Sus scrofa: one gene and its partners. The protein of the gene in region 4 purifies or fractionates together with the protein of the main gene of each other region. This does not show direct contact. Links are inferred from orthologs where the notes say so. Each region holds a gene or a part of one and is shown on either strand. Other genes may lie near its edges.

Region 1 (4,829 bases), on a different chromosome or scaffold from region 4:
GAAGTTGGACGAGGAGAACATGAGCTGGCAAGGGGTGGGGCATAGCCATAATGAAGACTTATTACTTAATGACCGGATAGACTTGTCCTCATTTCATGGAGATAACTCTTGGTAAACTATGACGGCAGAAAGATAAGTGCGGCTCATTCAACACTTCAAAACAGAAAGGAATCTTTTTGTGGGGTGGGGGGGAGTCTTACCAGTGGCATGCGAAAGTTCCCAGGCCAGGCAGCAGCGACAACACCTAATCCTTAACTGCTAGGCCACCAGGGAACTCGGAGAGGAATTCTTTCCTTCTTTCTTCCTTCCTTTCTCTCTCTCTCTCTCTCTCTCTCTCTCTCCCTTCCTTCCTTGTCTTTTTAGGGCTTCCCCTGTGCCATATGGAAGTTCCCAGGCTAAGGGCAGAATTGGAGCTGCAGCTGCCGGCCTGCACCACAGACACACAACTTGGGCTCGAGATCCAAGCCTCAGCTACCATCTACACCACAGTTCACGACAAGGTAGGATCTTTAACTCACTGAGTGAGGCCAGGGATCGACCCTGAGTCCTCATGGATACTAGTTGGGTTCGTTACCACTAAGCCACAACAGGAACTCCTCATTTGTTTCTAATGTGTTACCCAAGTTGATTAATTTCTTTTAGAAGAAGAAAGCTCATTCTCTAGCTAATGACGTGGACCTCTGCTTTCCCAGAAGAACAATTCCTGGGAATATCTGGTTAGTTCCTGCTGCCTGGCTGGGGCTGGTGAGATGACATAGAAAGGGAGTAACGCAGAGAGAGAAGCTCTCAATAAAACACTTAGCAGAAAGTGGTTGAGAAAAGGCCCAGTAAGTCTTTTTCAAGTGGCCATAAATAATCGAGCACCAAAGTCAAGAGCCGGAATGTGGCTGGGAATAAGAAAGCGCCAGCGCTTTTCTTGGTAGCTGCCAGCAAGAGGCTTCAAGAAAGGAAGTCAGAGGGATATTCCCCAGGCTTTGGGGAGGCTCCAAGAAAGCATCACCCTTACCTGGTGCCTTGGGTGAGAACTCAGGAGTCTGAACCTTTGCCAGCCCCAGCCAGGAAGGGAAAAGTCACGCCATCCTAGTAGTGTGAGTTAAAGACCTCCGGTCCTCAGAGTTCCCATTGTGGTTCAGTGGGTTAAGAGCCTGACACAATGTCTGTGACAGTGTGGGTTTGCAGTGGGTCGGGGATCTGGCATTGCCATGAGCGGCGATGTAGGTCACAGATATGGCACGGATCTGGCGTTGCTGTGGCTGTGGTATAGGCTGGCAGCTGCAGCTCTGATTTGACCCCTGGCCCGGGAACTTCCATATGCTGCAGGTGTGCCCCCCTCAAAAAAAAAAAAGATCTCTGGTCCTCCCCTAAATCCTTCCCCTAGCCTAAGACCTCAAGTTTCAGTTTCGGATGATGCAAATGCCCAGGAAGGAGTGGGTACCCACTGAGCTGTCTTTAGCCCTTTATTCCTATGTGCGGATGAACCCATGAGGCTGTTCCTGAGAACAGGAGGAGCTGGCAGGAAGCGCCGGACACTGAGGGCTGGAGAAACAGAGAGGGAGATGACCAAGAAGAACCCTAAGGAGTCTTGCTGTTTATAGTGGATTCTCCCTATAACCATTGGTAGGTAAGAATGACTTCTTTTCATCTGTAGATCGGTGGCTCCCCCTCTTTCCTCCCTTCCTTCCTTCTTTCCTTTCTCTCTCTCTTCCTTCCTTCCTTCCTTCCTTCCTTCCTTCCTTCCTTCCTTCCTTCCTTCCTTCCTTCTTTCTTTCTTTCTTTCTTTCTTTCTTTCTTTCTTTCTTTCTTTCTTTCTTTCTTTCTTTCTTTCTTTCCTTTCTAGGGCTGCACCTGCAGCATATGGAAAAGGCTAGGCAGCTGCTGGACAACATCATAGCCTCAGCAATGTGGGATCTGAGCCATGTCCATGACCTACACCACAGCTCATGGCAATGCCTGATCTTTAACCCACTGAGTGAGGCCAGGGATGGAACCTGCAACCTCATGGACACTAGTCACGTTTGTTACCGCTGAGCCATGACGAGAACTACCCCCCTCTTTTTTCTAATCCAGATGGTCACCAAGTATCAAATGCCTGCAGGGATAATTGGAGCTTGTCAGACTCTTTCTAATAATACCGTCTATTTATATCATCCTGCCAGCTCGTGGGAGCAAGTCTCATATGCTGGCTGATGTTCTAGGAAATTGGCCAGCTGCCCTCTCACATCCTCCCCTGTTCTGCCTGGCTTTTGAGCACCTATCTCCTGGGGTCAAAGCACCTCTAGAGCTCCCACCTTCCAGCCGCTGGGATTGGCAGAAGGACCTTCTGTTTAGTCTTCAGTGCTTTTGCTCCCTTCCTTCTGCAATCTCCCCAGATCTCCAATTAATCAAGGGCAGATTACAACACTGCCAGGCTCTACCCCTGTGGGCCCCACTTTGCTTGGACCCCCAGAACAACCTTCCAACATCCACGTCCACTCCCACATTTGCCCCTTACAGGCCACTCTCCACACAATAGCCAGGGTGGTCTTTCTTTCTTTCTTTCTTTTTTTTTTTTTTTTTTTTTTTTGTAAGTCCGCACCCATGGCATGAAGAGGTTCCTGGGCTGGGGATCCAACTGGAGCTATAGCTGCCAGTCTACACCACAGCCACAGCAACGCGGGATCTGAGCCATGTCTGCGAACTACAGTGCAGCTTGTGGCAATGTCAGATCCTTTACTCAGTGAGCAAGGTCAGGGATCAAACCCATATCCTCATGGATGTTATGTAGTTCTTAACCCGCTGAACCACAACAGGAACTCCTAAAGTCACTTGTAATGGCACACCATTTGTAATGACCTAGTTGCTTGTCTGTTGGTTCTCTTGTCTGAGTTAGCCATCACCATATCCCTAGCTTGGTACCCATTAGGGCCTGACATCAGTCAGAGCAGACTAAGCTGTGCAGCAGCAACAAAAGACTTCCAAATCTTAGTGTCTTCAAATCACAGAGTTTGTTTCTCAATCACATAAATGTCTGTCACAGGTTAGTGGTGGACCGGGGCTGGGGGGTGGGGGGCACTGTGTTCATTGCAGGGGCCCAGGCTGATGGGGCCCCCATACGTTCCCAGTACCATACCATGCAGATGAGAGCTCTGAAGGGTCTCCCATGGACAGATAAATTCTCCCACCCCCAAATGATTTGTGTATCATGTCTGCTTCCAAGTCATTGGGTCCCATAGAGTCACCCACCTACAGGGAGCAAGAAGTTCAAGACTGTCTAGGGCCAGGAAAGAGAAGTGGAAATATTCGCCAAACAGTAGTCCAGACTCACTCAATACTCAGTCAGTACTTTTGAAGGAGCAAGCATCTAGTATGTTCTTTCTACAGCTGCAGTGGGTTAGAGCGACCTTACAGGGTCCTGCTGGGGCTCTTGTATTCTTGCTGTTCAGGCTGCTGCTCTGCAGGGAGTCAGAGTTCCCTCAGGAGAAGCTCAGCAGACAAGGGTGTCCTCTGAGATCTGAGAGGAGCAGTCCCAGAGGCTGTGGTTCATCCCCAGATGGGGATATGTTCCGGGTCTGTGTCCTTTGTGAGACAACTCTTCCAAGTGCCCTGCCAGTCCCCTCTGAGACAGCCTCACTTAGCTAGGGTCTGGCATGTGCAAGAGCTGAACAGATGACCCTCTTGGCCGAGTCCCAGTGGAATCCCTGGGTGGGGGGCGGGGAGGGCTGAGGCAGGTAGGCAGGTGGTTGGGTGGGGATGGGATGTGGAGAGTAAGGGCATCATTTTTGAGACCTAATGCGCCCTGTTACTAGTCATAGGAATGGCAGTTATACACCCCAGGAATGGTAAGAAAACCACCTGTGACTGCTGTAGGTCCTAGGGGTATGGGGACAGGAAAATGCTGGTGGTCATCCAGGGCCCTGATGCTGTTCCCTAACCTGTCCGTTTCGTTAGGGCAGGCCGCAGTAAGCCCTTCCCGGGTCTGAACTTGCATTTGATCAAATGGCATTGCCACAGCGTGTCCTTTCTACCAGGCCATACACGGTGCTGTAGTGGGAGGAAATGCTCTCCCTAGGTGGTTATAATAAGCTCGTGTCCATCTTGGCTTTGGGTGGCAACACAATGGAAGCTAATGTTTGCTGAGCACCCATCAAGTTCCCAGCACTATGCCAAGTGCTTTATATGTCATTGCATGTAAATCATCACACCTGCAGTGCGCAGGTGCTGCTCCTGTTGGGCAGCTGGGGAAACCAAGGCCTGCAGTGGTTAACTTCCTAATTAAGACACTGTTAGTTCTATGGCAGAGCCCTCCTTTAAACCTCTGCTTCCTGATTCCAAACCTGTGCACTTAATCGTTATCCGTAGGAATAGACTTTCATCTGATTCCCCTTCTAGGTCATTCATACTGGAGAACTTCCTTTCTGAGGAGCCTCCTACCTTCTCCCTTAACAGTACCTAGCAGAGTTTCTCATATACTTAGCAGGCAATATAAGTCTTTAATGTATATGGGGAAGGTCAAATAGAATACTTAAGATCCTAGGCTAAACTAGCAGAGTCTGGTGATATGGTCTTTGATAAGCCTGTTACTTAAAACTAAGTTAATGCTTCTGTGCTTTTTGATATTGCTCTTTGTAGAGGGTCTGGATCTGTTAGTTGCTTATACACAGCGATTTAATCAGAGTACAAAGCCTTTCCTGTAATACATGCAGCACCCTGATGTATAATTATCAACAAGGAAAGAATTAATTACACAGTGCTAGCTGCTGTGGATATCGAATTGAACAAGAGATGGCTTCCATCCCTAGAGATTATGGAGGCAGGCATTTAAACAATTAATTGCCATATAGTGTTTGACG
Region 2 (4,926 bases), about 45 Mb from region 4:
GCACAAAATACACGCGCGCGTGCGTGCACACACACACACACACACACACACACACGCAATCAGAATAAATGCCCTGGATTCTTTGGTGCTTCAAGGGATGAAGTGTTCACCTGTGGTTGACAGATCAAGAGAGCTTTCACATGAAGAAGAAAGAACATTTGAGCTGTGCCTTGCATGATGGGCTGCGTTTTGGCAGGCAGAAGTAAGAGTGAGGGATCATAAGGGAAAGGAACCATGAGCACCACATGGAAGAAAATGAGGCATACTGTCAAATAGTAAACAAAACGGAAGTCCTGTCTTTATTTTCCTGCCTTCACATTTGACCATGTGAGCAGATATGTTCCATAAGAGCGGTGAAATAGAATAGTTGACACTGGAATATCAATGACATGCATAAGGATGTACAGAAAGGCATGGAATGCCAGCCTCAGAAAGCTTCATCTAATAAATTTTTTTTTTTTTTTTTTTTTTTTTTTTTGTCTCTTCTAGGGCCACAGCACATGGAGGTTCCCAGGTAGGGGTCCAATAGGAGCTGTAGCCACCGGCCTACGCCAGAGCCACAGAAATGCGGGATCTGAGCCGCATCTGTGACCTACACCACAGCTCACGGCAACACCAGATCCTCATAGCCCACTGAACGAGGCCAGGGATCGAACCTACGTCCTCACGGATGCTAGTTGGGTTCGTTAACTGCTGAGCCATGATGGGAACTCCGAAAAAATATTTTTTAAAAATTAGGAAAACTAATTTGGGCAAATATTGTCCTAAATAAAGGCTTGTTATGAACCCTGTGTGTATCTTCCAAAACAACATTGGAGTGTTGTTTTTTTTTGTTTTGTTTTGTTTTTTGTCTTTTTGCCTTTTCTAGGGCCATTCCCACAGCATATGGAGGTTCCCAGGCTAGGGGTTTAATCGGAGCTGTAGCCACCGGCCTACGCCAGAGCCACAGCAACACGAGATCCAAGCCATGTCTGCAACCTGCACCACAGCTCACGGCAACGCCGGATCCTTAACCCACTGAGCAAGGCCAGGGATCGAACCCGCAACCTCATGGTTCCTAGTCGGATTCGTTAACCACTGAGCCACGACAGGAACTCCAACATTGGAGTGTTTTAACAGTAGCCTTTGGAAAAGACTGCCCTCACTCCTTGTTCAATAACCCAAACATGAAGCTAACAGTGGGCATTCCAGGTCCAGTGGTAATGATAACAGGCAGCACCTGGAGGAAATATTTATGCAGTGTCTACCCTTGTGATGCTGGGAGGGTACTGGGACTGCTAGATCTAAACAGGTTCATTTCTTTAGGAAGACCAAGTATAAGCTTCTGGATATTTTCCCTCAGAACAGAGGATGGGACAGATCCAAGAACCAAAGCAAGAAGTCAGGTCCAGTACCAGGGCAAGACTAGCCGATAGTTCCAAGGATGGATGAAGTCTGTAGATGTTAGCCAGGATTGTGAGACCAAGGGAGAAGTAGAAAGGGTCAGGGGTCAAAGACTAAGGGCTCTGAAGCAGCAATGGCAGCAGAGGCCATGGTAATTAACACATGGCCAGGTTCCCTTTATCCCCTTCTCACATTTCCCTGTAGACTTCTGACCTAGCTGCCAGACAGATGCACAAGTTTTAGAAGATGCTAGACAGTATAAAGTCTGTTTCCTTTGGAAAAAATGACCAAGCCCTTGTGAAAAGCTTTGGTTTCTTCTACTTATTGAATAAGGTAAAAATTACCTGTCTTTTTTCATGGATGTCTACGATGCTCAAATAAAATGAAAGTGAAAAGAACAGTTATAATAGAGTTGTAATTATTTTGCAACCGCATCTACATGTTGATAATCCAAGAATCAACCAGTAAATACCATTAGCTTCCCATACCCCCAACATTACTTTAGGCCCTTTGGAAAGATTCAAAATTTATTTAATGCAAAATCAAATTGAAACATTCAGGAGAAATGTATTCAGACCGAAATTATAGAATTTCAAAGCATTTGACCCTGGATCTTTTTGAGAATGAAAAGACAACACCAAAAAAAAAAAAAAAAAGAAAGAAAAAGAAAAAAGAAAGAAATCCTTTCACTTAATCTACAAATATTAGTCAACAAATATTTATTGACTGTCACTATCCTGTTCCCACACTGATAGGTATCAGATAAAGGCAGACAGACAAATTTTTTTTTTCTTTTTAGGGCCACACCCACGGCATATGGCAAATCCCAGACTAGGGGTCTAATCGGAAATACAGCTGCCTGTGCTATAGCCATAGCAATGCCAGATCTGAGCCGCATCTGTGACCTACACCACAGCTCAAGGCAATGCCAGATCCTTAACTCACTGAGCGAGGCAGGGATCAAACCAGCAACCTCATGGCTCCTAGTCAGAATCATTTCAGCTGCACCACCACAGGAACTCCAAAATAATTAAACTTTAAAAGTGTCCATTTAGCACAGAGATACATGGTCTTTCATCTTAATCCTGCCCTTGAACTATGCATATTAATCCCCATCCTACCAAAGAAGTTATTTTTAAATCTTATGTAGAAATAAAAAAAAATACATCCAAGAGGCCACCATATACCCAAGAGCAACAACAATGCAAATAAGCATTCTGCGTTCTTCCCCTACAACTGACGTCCACACAAATATAAATGAGTTTCATTGATACATCTAATTGTTCTTGATGTTTTTCACTAGGCAACATCTTAGAGAAAATAATTGAAACCTGATATAAATAAGACGGAATATCCATCTGGAGTTGGCATGCGGCCCTTTTTGACCACTTGAAAGTCATTTCTATTTTTGGATCTTGTGATGATGAATCCTGAAACAAATACAATGCAAAAAAGTGGATTTTTTATTTATTGTCATTCATTTAAGGATAAAATTTTGAGATTAGGTATATAAAGAACTGTAACTATTTTTCAAAAATTATTTTTTATTCTTTATAAAAATAAGTATACAAAGAAGAAAAGTATAAAAAGAAGTGCATAAGACTACCTTATACCTACCAAAGAAGAAACCAGAAAATATAAAGGAGACTTACCTTAAAGTAGCTTCAATGGGCAGCTCGAAGGACTGGATCTCAGCCAGGACATTCTCATAGGTTTGATCTGCGTCCTCTTCCAACATTGCTCCTGATTTTCCAGCCACAGACATCAGATTTTCAGTGCAAAACAGTTGTAATTTATAAGAGAAATGTCGTTTTCCCTATAATTATGACAAGGGTTCTCTCTTCATCCAAAGTAGCAGCAAAAAACTGAGCTCACTGTCTGAGCTCATGCTATCAAAATCCTGGCTTCCAAGAATGTTGCACAGCTGTTGCTGTCCTGTCTCTGCTTATAACATTTTACTTATTATTAACCTTGACACAGTTCAGAAAGTTCCTGCCCAATGCCTGCTATATTTATTTGCTTGTTTCTCAAAGACAGTAACAGCAAACTTTGATAGGGATTAGAAAAATTACACTATAAAAAGTTATTAAATTACAACGGACTTGTTAGGGCACATATTTTAATGTTATTTATGCTAACTGCGCCATTAGAGCTATGCTCCTAATTATTCCTGCAACGACACCCTTGCCCACAAACCCAAGCAGTTAACTTACTCAGAAAAAATATGTGTGTAACAATCCTATAGGATATGATTTTGAGGTCACTGGACAAGCACCTTGGTTCCCCATCCCTGTCACTTGCCACCTTACTCACAAAGGTGTGACGTTCCTCCGTTAAAGAGCCATTCCTTTTTTTGTCTCCTGTTCAAAGACAGATGCTCCTGGAAATGGCTTAATTTTAATCCTTAAACCAGCCACTTATGCCTCACTGTGAATGAGTTTGCTAGATCCTTTCTGCAGGAGAGATTTTGATGTGGAGGGAGAAAGCACGAAGACGCCAGCATGTTAAGGGGGCTGGTTGCCACCGAGAGGAAAAAAGTGTGAAAGGAGTAGAGGCCTAAAATATAAAGGAAAAATGTGGAGACCAGCCAGCCAGTCCCAAGGAGGCCTAAAAAATTAAATGGATACATAATTCCCATTACCATTTGTACTAGATCTTCCTGAATTCTGAGTTTAACCTCATGCTTTCTTGCCCAGTACTGGAAAGAGAGGGAGGACTAGTGACATTCTTCTGTATGAATCTATTTTTTTAAGTTTTTATCAGATTTGTTAATATTGTTCTGAAAAGAAACGGGAAGTTCTTTCTCCTCAAAATGTAATATTCATATAACCACAGGCATGCTTCATAAACTGCATCAGTTTTTCACTTCTCTGTGCACCCTTACACTTGTCAGTGCCACACTGAGTGTCCCTCCATGCCCCAGGGCTTTGGGCTTAGCCCTGTGACTTCTGCAGGCCAGTGATACATGACAGTTTGTGAGCTCCAGGCCTGGGCTTTGTAAGGCCTCTCTTGCTGCTGTTTGCCCTCTTACACCTCTACCATCACCTGAGAAAAATATTCCCGGCTAGCTTGCTGGTCCAAGGAGGATGAGACATACAGGAAGCAGAGTCATTGCCACTGATCCACAAAAATGCAGGGAGAAGCATAGTTTTGCATCTAGCTGCAGCAGTCTGAAGCAGAGGCACCCACCCCAGCCATGCCCCAAATACTCACAGACACAGGAGCAATGACGAATGATGGTTCTTTTCAGCCACTGAGTGATGGGTTGGTTATATGTGCTAGTAGCAAACTAATCCAGCAGTCTTCACCTCAACCCCACCAATACCTTCAACTCTTAGCCCTAGTTTTCCTCCAATGGCAGGATGGCAGAAATGCATCAGGAATATGCCTAACACTATTTCCCCCAAGAGGGAGTGATGGTGCCTGCCTTCAAGACCTGACACAAAACAGTGATTTTCTATCTTGTGTTAAAGCCATTTATGTGCAACGTTTTTAATTTATGCCAAATTATCAGACTATGCAAGAAAAGAATGTCTATTTGAT
Region 3 (4,973 bases), on a different chromosome or scaffold from region 4:
TTATTAAAATGTAATGGAAAGGTCTATCTGTAATTCCTGAGATGGAGCTCTGAGTGCCCACCATGCGTGTCGTATACTCTATGTTTCTGTTCTATCTCTTACATTCTCCTTTAAGCTGATCCAGGGTCTCTCCTGAGACCATGGCAGGGACTGGTGTCCCCAAACCTGTCACATCACTCTGCTGGCCTCTTACCACTTTGTTGAGCTCTGGGCTGTCTGGGCTGTTGTCCTGGAAATACTCCACAGCCTTCTGAATCTTGGCCATGCTTCCCAGGTACTCCTCCAGCCTCCCTGTGGGGCTGGAAAGGAAAAGAGCTGGATCAGCCTGGGCAGGTGGAAGATGAAGAGGGAGGGCCCCAGGAATGATACCTGGACAGGGGAGAAGAGAATTCACCCAGGCGACCCAAGGTTCAAATACGTTCTACCCCCCCTTCCAAGGCCTGGGGTGGCTGGCCCGGAGGCGTTAGGCAGGTGACCCTCCGGCCCTGGCTCACCCCTCCCTGATGATCCTCTCAGTGTCACTGGCCACATGGTAGTAGCTAATGACGTGGTCCAGACAGGACAGCGTCTTCTCAACATTCTCCTGCAGCCGCTGCAGGTTCTCCGTCTGTTTGTGCACGGGGATGATGGAATTCTCCAGCTTCATGAGGCGACTCTCAAAGGACGACAGGATAGACACCTGCAGGGGGAGGGCAGCCCCGTGCTCGCAGACCGCCGGGTGGTCCCCAAGCCGCTTCTGCCACCCACCGGGTCTTTGGCATTTGCTGCCTTTTTCTACGGTTTTCTAGACAACCAGGCCCATGAGGGAAGGGACGGGGGACATCTCTTCCCCACTGAATCCCCAGCAGCTACCGCGTGCCCGGCACACAGGAGGTAGCCCACATCAATTAATGTGAAGGCAAGCCAGGCATGAAATTAATTCCTCCGCAGATAATCACTTCAGAATGCTTCTCGTCCACCCTCCGAAGCCAAAGCTCAATTTCTATTCTCTCTGGAGCGTTCTAGACTGAACAGGAAGTAGTTTCATACAGAGTAGCCTCAAATGCATTGCTGGTACCTTCCTAACCCTTTCTAAGGGTGAATCTCATTAAATAAGAACTAGCAGGAGTTCCCGTGATGGCGCAGTGGTTAACGAATCTGACTAGGAACCATGAGGTTGCGGGTTCGGTCCCTGCCTTGCTCAGTGGGTTAAGGATCCGGCGTTGCCATGAGCTGCGGTGTAGGTCGCAGATGAGGCTGGGATCTGGTGTGGCTGTGGCTGTGGCTGTGGGTAGGCCAGCAGCTGCAGCTCCGATTCGACCCCTAGCCTGGGAACCTCCATGTGCCACAGGAGCGGCCCTAGAAAAGACAAAAAGAAAAAAAGAAAGAACTAGCAGTTGCTGACTGTGTTACTAAACAGCCTATGTTTTTCCAGTCTCCTCTAGGAATAAGGAAGAAACTCATACTTATTGACACGTCCCTTTGCACTAGCTTCTGTGACCTTCAGAGCTATGGGAGGCTGGCATCATCTCTGTTTCAGCTGACAAGTTAACTGAGGATCAGAGTTACCTGTCAGCAAGCTATACGCGGACAAGTGGAGGGGCAAGGACTAGATCCCAGATCTGACTTCAGAGCTCATTTTACCCCTCAAGCCCTCTGGAGTGAAAGGTGAGTCAGTAATCTCAGAAGGGGTAACCTGCCACTCCTGGGCATCTATCCAGAGAAAACCATGACTCGAAAAGATACTTGTACTCCAATGTGCACTGCAGCACTATACACAATAACCAAGACATGGAAACAACCTAAATGTCCATGGACAGAGGAGTGGATAACGAAGATGTGGTACATATACACCATGGAATATTACTCAGCCGTTAAAAGGAAAGAAAGAACGGCATTTGCAACAACATGGATGGACCTAGAAATGATCATGCTACGTGAAGTGAGTCAGACAGTGAGACACCCACATCAAATGCTCTCACTTATGTGTGGAATCTAAAAAAAGCACACAATGAACTTCTTTGCAGAACAGATGCTGACTCGCAGACTTGGAAAAACTTACGGTTGCCAAAGGAGACAGGTTGGGGGTGGAGGGATGGGCTGGGGGTTTGGGATGGAAATGCTATAAAATTTGGTTGTGATGATCGTTGTACAACTATAAACGTAATAAAATTCACTGCGTTAAAAAAAAAAAAAAATGGAGTTCCCGTCGTGGCGCAGTGGTTAACGAATCCGACTAAGAACCAGGAGGTTGCGGGTTCGGTCCCTGCCCTTGCTCAGTGGGTTAACGATCCGGCGTTGCCGTGAGCTGTGGTGTAGGTTGCAGACGCGGCTCGGATCCCGCGTTGCTGTGGCTCTGGCGTAGGCCGGTGGCTACAGCTGCGATTGGACCCCTAGCCTGGGAACCTCCATATGCCGCGGGAGCGGCCCAAGAAATAGCAACAATAACAACAACAACAACAAAAACAAAAAGACAAAAGACAAAAAAAAAAAAAAAGAAGTGGTAACCTGGCCATCCTACCCTCACTTGAATTGAGGGTGACACATGGCCAGCATCCAACCCACTTAGGTCAGTCTCACTAAGTGTTTGCAGAGGAGAGAAGGAAGCATGGAGAACTTAGGCAGAGATCAGAAAGTCCAGGCCAGCGGGGACTGCAGCATCTGAGGCCAAGGGGCTGACAAGGGGTAAGAGACGTGCCACACTGCTGCGGGAGAAACCCACGCGTCACGGCTGTCACTACCCAGACCAGAACCCCAGCCCTTAGGTCCAGGCACGACCGGGTCGCAGGGTCTCCTCCAGCGCCTGGAAGCCCCCCCAGCTGAGGAGGGGTTACTCACCATGTTCTTGGTGAGCTGGTCGCTCTTCTCCAGACTGTCTCGGATGAAGGACAGCGTCTCCTCCTCCTGGGGGGAGCGCAAAGGAGGACATCACCAGAAGCCGGAGGCTAAAGGAGCTCACCGCTCCCGTGGTCTCGCCCCCTACTCAGTCTCCTGGCAGGGAGTGTCCCCTTCCCACTCCTGACGCCTCCCTGAGTGGATGCCTGGCCCGGATCTCGGCCCCTTCCCCTCCCCCGCCTCCCAGTGCCAGCCCCACCTGCTTCAGCTTGTCCTCGATCTCCCGCCGCCGGGCGGACGCCTCCTGCGGGGGGATCATGGCTTCGACTCTGCGACTCCCACTGCCCAGTACCTCGTCCCAGCTGACCCTCTCGGCTCCCGTTCCTGTCACACCTACTTCCGCCCGTGGCCCCGCCCCGGGGCGCGCTAGTGGTGCCATATTGGGAGTGGCAGGTGGAAGTGCGCCTGCGTAGAACTCAGTACAGCGGTCTGGAGTGGCCATCTTGAGTGTGGCAGGGAGGTGTGGCCTGGATTCTCCTAGGTGAAGGGATTGCTGTTCTCATCAGAGAAGGTTCTTGGGTGGTGTTTTGTCCTGTCGCTGGCAGAACAGTAACAGCTCACTTGGCCGTCTTCGGGGGAAGGTTTACGCCTTTCACAAAATCAATGACGAACTCCTTTCTCCAGATCGAAGTCTGAATCCAGGCACCAATGTCGCCTTTCCCACAAAACGCAGCACAGAGCTTGTCACACACTAGATACCCAATTGTGCCCATTTAATGAACCAAGGACCTGTGTAGTGTCCCTCTTTGGCCCTAAAAGCTCACGGAACAGGCCCAGTGTGCAAGTAACTAGGTTTTGCAGTGGATCCAGAGCATACGTACCTGCAGTAACCTTGAACCAGTCCCCTACCCTCTCCCAACCCCACCCCCGGCCACGCCCCCAAGCTGTATTTAGAGGAGACCCCGCCAAGGAGTTGAGACATTCCGGCAGCCGCAGGAACCAAGGCTTTCTGATTTCCTCCAAGGCCCGTGAGAAATGCTCCCCGTGTGTCTGAATGCATGCATGCCTCAGTCTCTCCCTAAGGACACCACCACCCTGGGCCCCAAGCCCTTAGACAGGTCTCAGATCTCTCAGGCTTCGCCTTGCACTGTTTGCAGACTTATAGTTCTCTACCCACAGCCTGGTCCTCACCAACCCCGCCAGTAAAACCACACAGCCCTCTCCAAAGCAGACACCCTGGCCGGGCTGGGTGGCTCACAAGTCAGGATTATGGTTTCAGATGCTGTTGGGGCCATGGGTGAGCACTCTGTCCCCGACCCCGAGCCTGGGAACCTCCATATACTGTGGGTGCGGCCCTAAAAAGACCAAAAGAAGAAAAATTAAATAAATAAATAAAAGAATGAAAAGACCAGTTTCGGTGATTCCCAGCCCAATGTCAGGCACATGCTGTTGGCAGTGGACACTGATTTGGTAAAAGCTGTGATTCCCTAACTATACTCAGCACAAGCTGCTTCAGCCAAAGGAGAAAGCGGTGTTTCAGCTGCAGCCTCGGTTGCTTGGCTTTCATTCCCAAACTTGTTCAGAGCACAAATGTGAGGGTCGCCTAGAGGCCCCAACTGCCCAACTCTCAGGGATGCTCTTTCTGGGGGGTGGGGGATAGGGAGGAAGCAAGAGCTTGCTCCCTTCACAGCCTGTTTTTTTTTGGGGGGGCGGCCCCTGCACCTGTAGCATATGGAGGTTCCCAGGCTAGGGGTCCAATCAGAGCTACAGCTGCTGGCCTACATCACAGCCACAGCAACGCAGGATCCCAGCCTCATCTGCGACTACACCACAGCTCACGGCAATGCCAGATCCTTAACCCACTGATCGAGGCCAGGGATTGAATTTGCGTCTTCATGGATGCTAGTCGGATCCGTTTCCACTGAGCCACGATGGGAACTCCTCACACACTGTTCTTTAGTTTGGTAACTTCCTAGTTCCATTATAAGAAAGAAAAACTATAATCCAATATCTCTCATGAATACAAATGCAAAAATACTCAAAATGTTAGCAAATAGAATCCAACATGTATAAAAATAAAGTATACATCATGACTACATGGGATTTATTTCAAGTGTGTAAGGCTGGTTCAACATTTGAAAATAAACTAAGATAATCCA
Region 4 (4,793 bases):
TTGACAACTCAGGAACACGTTTAAAAAAAACCACAAAACAAAAAAAGTATGTTGTTAAGACTTTCAAGTAAATGCTCCCAAATCAAGTATTAAAATGATGCTAATTAACAGCAGACAATAATGGGCCATTTAAATTATGATGGAAGTATTTGCTGAACTGCTTGTATGACAGCTTCTACAGGGATTGGAGTAAGTCCACACGCCAGCTACCTTCATGAAGGAATTCTGTTGACCAAAATTTACCCTGAAACCAGTTTTCTCAACTCCTCCTTTCTTTTCCCCAAATTGTTCAACCACATTTTAAGGTGCAGAAGTACACGAGGCAGGAATGGCACTGTGCCCTTTAAGAAACCTAGTGAACTGGGAAACTTTCAAAACACAAGTTGAAATGCTCTGGTGTGACGATATATAGTCATTAGAGAGTTAGCATAATTTAAAAGGAAAGCATATTGTATGTTCTACTAATTCAATGTTTTTGTTACGTGGGTTTAACATGTTTTTCAATCTCCTTTTGATTTTCGCATTTCTGAGAAGGCATCTTTTATTTTTAGGCTGTGTTTGAGACTATAAAGAATACGCTAATGCAACTTAATATAAATATAAATAATATATATAAGCCATATATACGTATACACATAAACAGGTCCAGGTGTCAGACCACTGACGTTGTACTTTCGGGATTCACACGAATCAGTCTCGATGCATTTCTCAGGTCCTGAAGTTGCTTGGCGGGTTTCCCCACACCTTCCTCAAACCTTTTCTCCACCACAGGCAGGACTGTTTCGTACAGAAAGGATGCATTCTGTCTGATAAAATTCTTCTTCTCTGGATCCTGCTCACACCGAAGACTGTAATCCACATGCTGAACAGCAACCAAAATGATTTCCACCAGGCTCTCCAACAGCACCATGTGCAGCTCCGGGAAATACAGCTTCAGCGCCTCTTCCAAGAAGCCCATGGTCTGTTTGGTGAAAGCCACCACCGTGTAACTCAGGTTCACCCAGCAGTCATCCCCCGTGTACTGCTCAAAGTTCCTCACCCCACAGCTCTTCATCTCCTCTTTGAGTTTACCCAGGGCCTCTGGAGTCATCAAGTTCATCCTCCTCCACATCTCCTCTGAGTTGCGATGCTTAGTGGCTTCGATGATGATTTCCTTGTAGCTGTGCAAGGCCCCCTGGATGTCTTTCACCAGGAGGGTGTGGATGATGAAGGTGAGGTCTAGCCCGATGTCACCCAGCTGCTGACAATGCTCCTTGGCCACCTTCACACACTCAGCTGCAGTGGAGAGGCTCTCCTTACTGTCGAACACCTGTTTGCTAAAGGCAGCCGCAAACGTGCCCAGGGCTGACCTCGCCCAGACCACGAAGGCCGAGTAGCAGCCCCCGTCGGTGCCTGCGAAGTCCGCCTCAAACTCCCTGGCCGTCTCGAGAAGGCTGGTGAAGAAGACGTGGCAGAGCTTGTGAATATAGAGTAAGGTGGCACCCTCGATGCGAAGCTGGCGGATTGCGGTATGCACAGCTGCTGCCCTGTTTCTCAAGAACAGCTCGCAAGCCTTAGTGCACTGGCCAAGCCGGATTAGTTGAGAAACGGCCCGACGCGTAGCCTTGGGACCGCCTCTCAGGGACCGATCCGGGGAGAGTTCAAAAACCAGCACCTCGGTGAGCTGGCGGACACGCTCATCCACTCTGGCCCTCAGTTCTTTTACAGCAGGTGGACTGGGCTTATCTTCCAGGTACTGGTTCAACTTATCCAGCAGGTCAACGGCCCCTTCAAAGTCCCTCTGGGCGATGCAAACATCCAGGTCTTCGGGCAATTCCTGGATCCATTCCATTGAGAGGTCCACCTTCTCTTCTTCCGCCTCAGGAACAGCTGGTTCGTCGTCGTCTTCATCTTCAAACGGGTTGCTGGCCTTGGAAGTCACTTGGGGTGGCCCTCGAGGGGCCGCTGCCTCCTCCTGCTCCCTGCGTCTTTTCTCACTGAGGGCCCTCTTGGTTTCCTCCAACACTTCCAGCCACTCGCGTTTGATTTTTGCATTTTCCGCCTGAAAAATACGACTCTCGGGAAACATTAGCAACTTGAACATGTCCTTCATGGGGGGATTGTCCTTGACATTGACTACGGCCAAACCATCCAGGGGATAGAGGGCGTCGTAGCGATACATCCCCCGCCGCTGTGGCAACCAGGTGGCCACCAGCAAACAGTCGTTCATGAGAAAGCCGTGCACTCGCTGCAACTGGGCCATATGATCCGCCTCGTATTCCACCAGGTCCCCGTTGTACACCAGGTACTGTCCCGGCGTCTCCAGCAGGTGCCTGCAGCCTTCCACCTTCTCCAGCAGAGTGGTAAGAGTGCGCTGCTTCCCTTCCTCGCCCGGACCAGAACTGTCGCGGGAGGCGCCCCCGGGACTTGGGAAAAAGCCAGCCTGGCCCCGGAGGTGATCGCGGCCCCCCGCGCTGCCTCCACCCTCCTCCCCTCCGGAGGCGGTGGCGGCCCCAGCAGCGGCTGCGGCGGCGGCCGGCAGCAGGGTGAGCGGGATGCTCTCCAGGTTGCTCTTCTGCTCGGTCAGCAGATGGCTAAGCTGGTACATCTCGCTCTCCAGGTAGGAGATCTCGCGGGCCGTCTCTATGAACTGCCGGTAGTTCTGGTAGACGTTACGCTTCAGGTTCTGCGCCGTCTCCTCCGCCAGCGCCTGGATGCGCTGCCGGTGCTCCTGCAGGTCCCGGTCCCCGTCCGACTGCTGCGAGAGCTGCTTCACGTACAGCCGCGCCTCGAAGCTGCCCGACTCCAGCTGCCGCCGCAGGCGGCTCGCCCCACTGTCTGACATCGCCATCGCCATTTCCGTCGGGGACTCACGTAGTCACTGTCACTATTACTACCGCCGCCGCTGCCGCCGCCGCCACTGTCGAGGCCCACCCAACCCGGCCGAGTCCAGGGCTGAGGAAGCAGGATGGAAGACAGGCGAGTACGCCTGCGCCCGGGTCTGAAGTCCGGACACTGCGCCTGCGCAAGATGCCCCTCGCAAACAGCGCGCCGGCGCAGGGTCGCCAGTGGCCTAGGGCGCATGCGCCGGAGAAGCTCCTGCGGAAGCGAGTGGAGGGCGGAGCAGCGAGGTGTAGATACTGCGCATGGGCCGAGCATGACGTTGATGTTTGACCGTACCCGCGAACCGTAAAGGCGGTATCCGGCTACTTGAAACCTTCCTCGGGCTCAAGCTTCGGGAACCCAAGTGTTGAGCCCACTAGGAGGTGTCATGCTGAATTTTCTTTGTTGTTTTAAGCCCTAGAATCTTGACTGGAGTTCGGGGCACGCTCGGTTCTCTTTCTCGAGCCGGAGTTTACTAGGTCTCGCGAGATCTGTGGCCTGACCCGAGAGTGGCCTGGGAGCTGGTATCTCCTAGGAGCACGGCTAGGCTCTCTGAGCCATCTGGACTCCGCCTGGTAGCCGGGCAGCCATGGATGAGGACCTGGTTCTGGCTCTTCGGCTTCAGGAAGAGTGGAACTTGCAGGTCTCGGAGCGCAATCCGGCCCAGGAGCCCCTGTCGCTGGTGGACGCGTCCTGGGAGTTGGTGGACCCCACGCCGGATTTGCAGGCCCTGTTTGTGCAGTTCAACGATCGTTTCTTCTGGGGCAAACTGGAGGCGGTGGAAGTGAAGTGGAGCGTGCGGATGACGCTGTGAGTGCCGAGCCCGCCGGGACCGGACAGCTGGCGGCCCTTCCGCTGCCCCGGCGCCGGGGCAGTGACCCGGGTCGGGTCTAGGGACAGCCAGCCGTTCTCGGGCTTCCTCTCCCTTCCCTTCCTTCCTCTCTCACTGCCCTTGGTTAGCTCTCAGAAAGCCGTGTGGCCCACCCCGCGGCGATCTGACCGGTAAGGAACACAGTGAGAGAGAAGGATGTTTCTCAGTTTCCAGGAAAATGAGTTCACCCCTTTCCCCTTTCTGATCTAGGACCCAGGAGGGAGAAACAGCCAGAATCGGCCCCTAAAGATGCTGAGGGCGCCGGGAAGTGTGCTGTCCTCAGCTGTGGTCTTTACGGCGCCGCTGCCTTGCAGTGAGCCGTGTGTCAGCTTGGGAAGGGGTCTATGTTTCCATAACTTTGGGACGCGGGGGTCTTCCGGGAGCCCTGTGAAAGGACCCTTTTCTTACCCGCTGAGTTGGAGAAAACCCCTTTTGAAATAAACGACTCCTGTACACCAACGGAGTTAACAAGTTTAAGGTGTAGCTGAACACTACCTGCTAGTTTTTGAATTGATACAAAACCACCTAGAATAAGGAGTTAAGATATGATATGAAGTTGCGTTGAAAGCACAGTTCTCCTTCATATATAATTATAATTTCGGAGGAACACTAGTGGAGATCTGGCCCTTTCCACCACAGACTGGTTGATTACACCTTTTAGGGAGAGGACAGGCAGCAGCAGGATGGGATTATCTTTGAGCTGCCTGGTTAGAGTAAGGGAGGCCACTGCTGTTCCCATTTCTCCCTGACCCCGCGGAGTTGCAAGCATCTCTCAGCAAAGAGGGTCTATTTTCAGGAAGGCCATCTGCCATGGAGTTCGCCCTCAGCCTGAACCACCCAAGAACGTGTAAGGATTTGCTCTCTCCTGTTTGATTCCCTCCTGTGTACATTCGGTGAATTACAGATTTGGGATGGTTTTCTTCCAGGTGTGCTGGGATCTGCAGCTACGAAGGGAATGGTGGAATGTGCTCCATCCGGCTCAGTGAACCCCTTTTAAAGTTGAGGCCCAGGAAGGATCTTGTGGAGGTATTTTCTGCATAAACCTGATGCTTAACTCAGT

Evidence for each region. Proteins that work in one complex are often made in the same cells at the same time.
Region 1: the proteins of EXOC8 (region 4) and RALB purify together in Homo sapiens (affinity purification with western blotting; 6 studies listed by BioGRID and IntAct, counting the BioPlex papers as one, with this or other methods). This does not show direct contact. The link is inferred for Sus scrofa from reciprocal best matches to the Homo sapiens genes EXOC8 and RALB.
Region 2: the proteins of EXOC8 (region 4) and EXOC6 purify together in Homo sapiens (affinity purification with mass spectrometry; 4 studies listed by BioGRID and IntAct, counting the BioPlex papers as one, with this or other methods). This does not show direct contact. The link is inferred for Sus scrofa from reciprocal best matches to the Homo sapiens genes EXOC8 and EXOC6.
Region 3: the proteins of EXOC8 (region 4) and EXOC7 purify together in Homo sapiens (affinity purification with mass spectrometry; 4 studies listed by BioGRID and IntAct, counting the BioPlex papers as one, with this or other methods). This does not show direct contact. The link is inferred for Sus scrofa from reciprocal best matches to the Homo sapiens genes EXOC8 and EXOC7.

Annotation. Positions count from the first base shown.
Region 1 is NC_010457.5:31,115,207-31,120,035, reverse strand, and holds the start of RALB (ras-related protein Ral-B), read left to right. Parts: upstream 1-1,598; 5' UTR 1,599-1,617; intron 1,618-4,829. UniProt on the Homo sapiens protein: Multifunctional GTPase involved in a variety of cellular processes including gene expression, cell migration, cell proliferation, oncogenic transformation and membrane trafficking.
Region 2 is NC_010456.5:104,325,248-104,330,173, reverse strand, and holds the start of EXOC6 (exocyst complex component 6), read right to left. Parts: upstream 3,232-4,926; 5' UTR 3,149-3,231; coding exon 3,036-3,148; intron 1-3,035. UniProt on the Homo sapiens protein: Component of the exocyst complex involved in the docking of exocytic vesicles with fusion sites on the plasma membrane.
Region 3 is NC_010454.4:5,329,753-5,334,725, reverse strand, and holds the start of EXOC7 (exocyst complex component 7), read right to left. Parts: upstream 3,232-4,973; 5' UTR 3,134-3,231; coding exon 3,074-3,133; intron 2,884-3,073; coding exon 2,818-2,883; intron 680-2,817; coding exon 495-679; intron 300-494; coding exon 194-299; intron 1-193. UniProt on the Homo sapiens protein: Component of the exocyst complex involved in the docking of exocytic vesicles with fusion sites on the plasma membrane.
Region 4 is NC_010456.5:59,190,590-59,195,382, reverse strand, and holds the start of EXOC8 (exocyst complex component 8), read right to left. Parts: upstream 3,039-4,793; 5' UTR 2,837-3,038; coding exon 653-2,836; 3' UTR 1-652. UniProt on the Homo sapiens protein: Component of the exocyst complex involved in the docking of exocytic vesicles with fusion sites on the plasma membrane.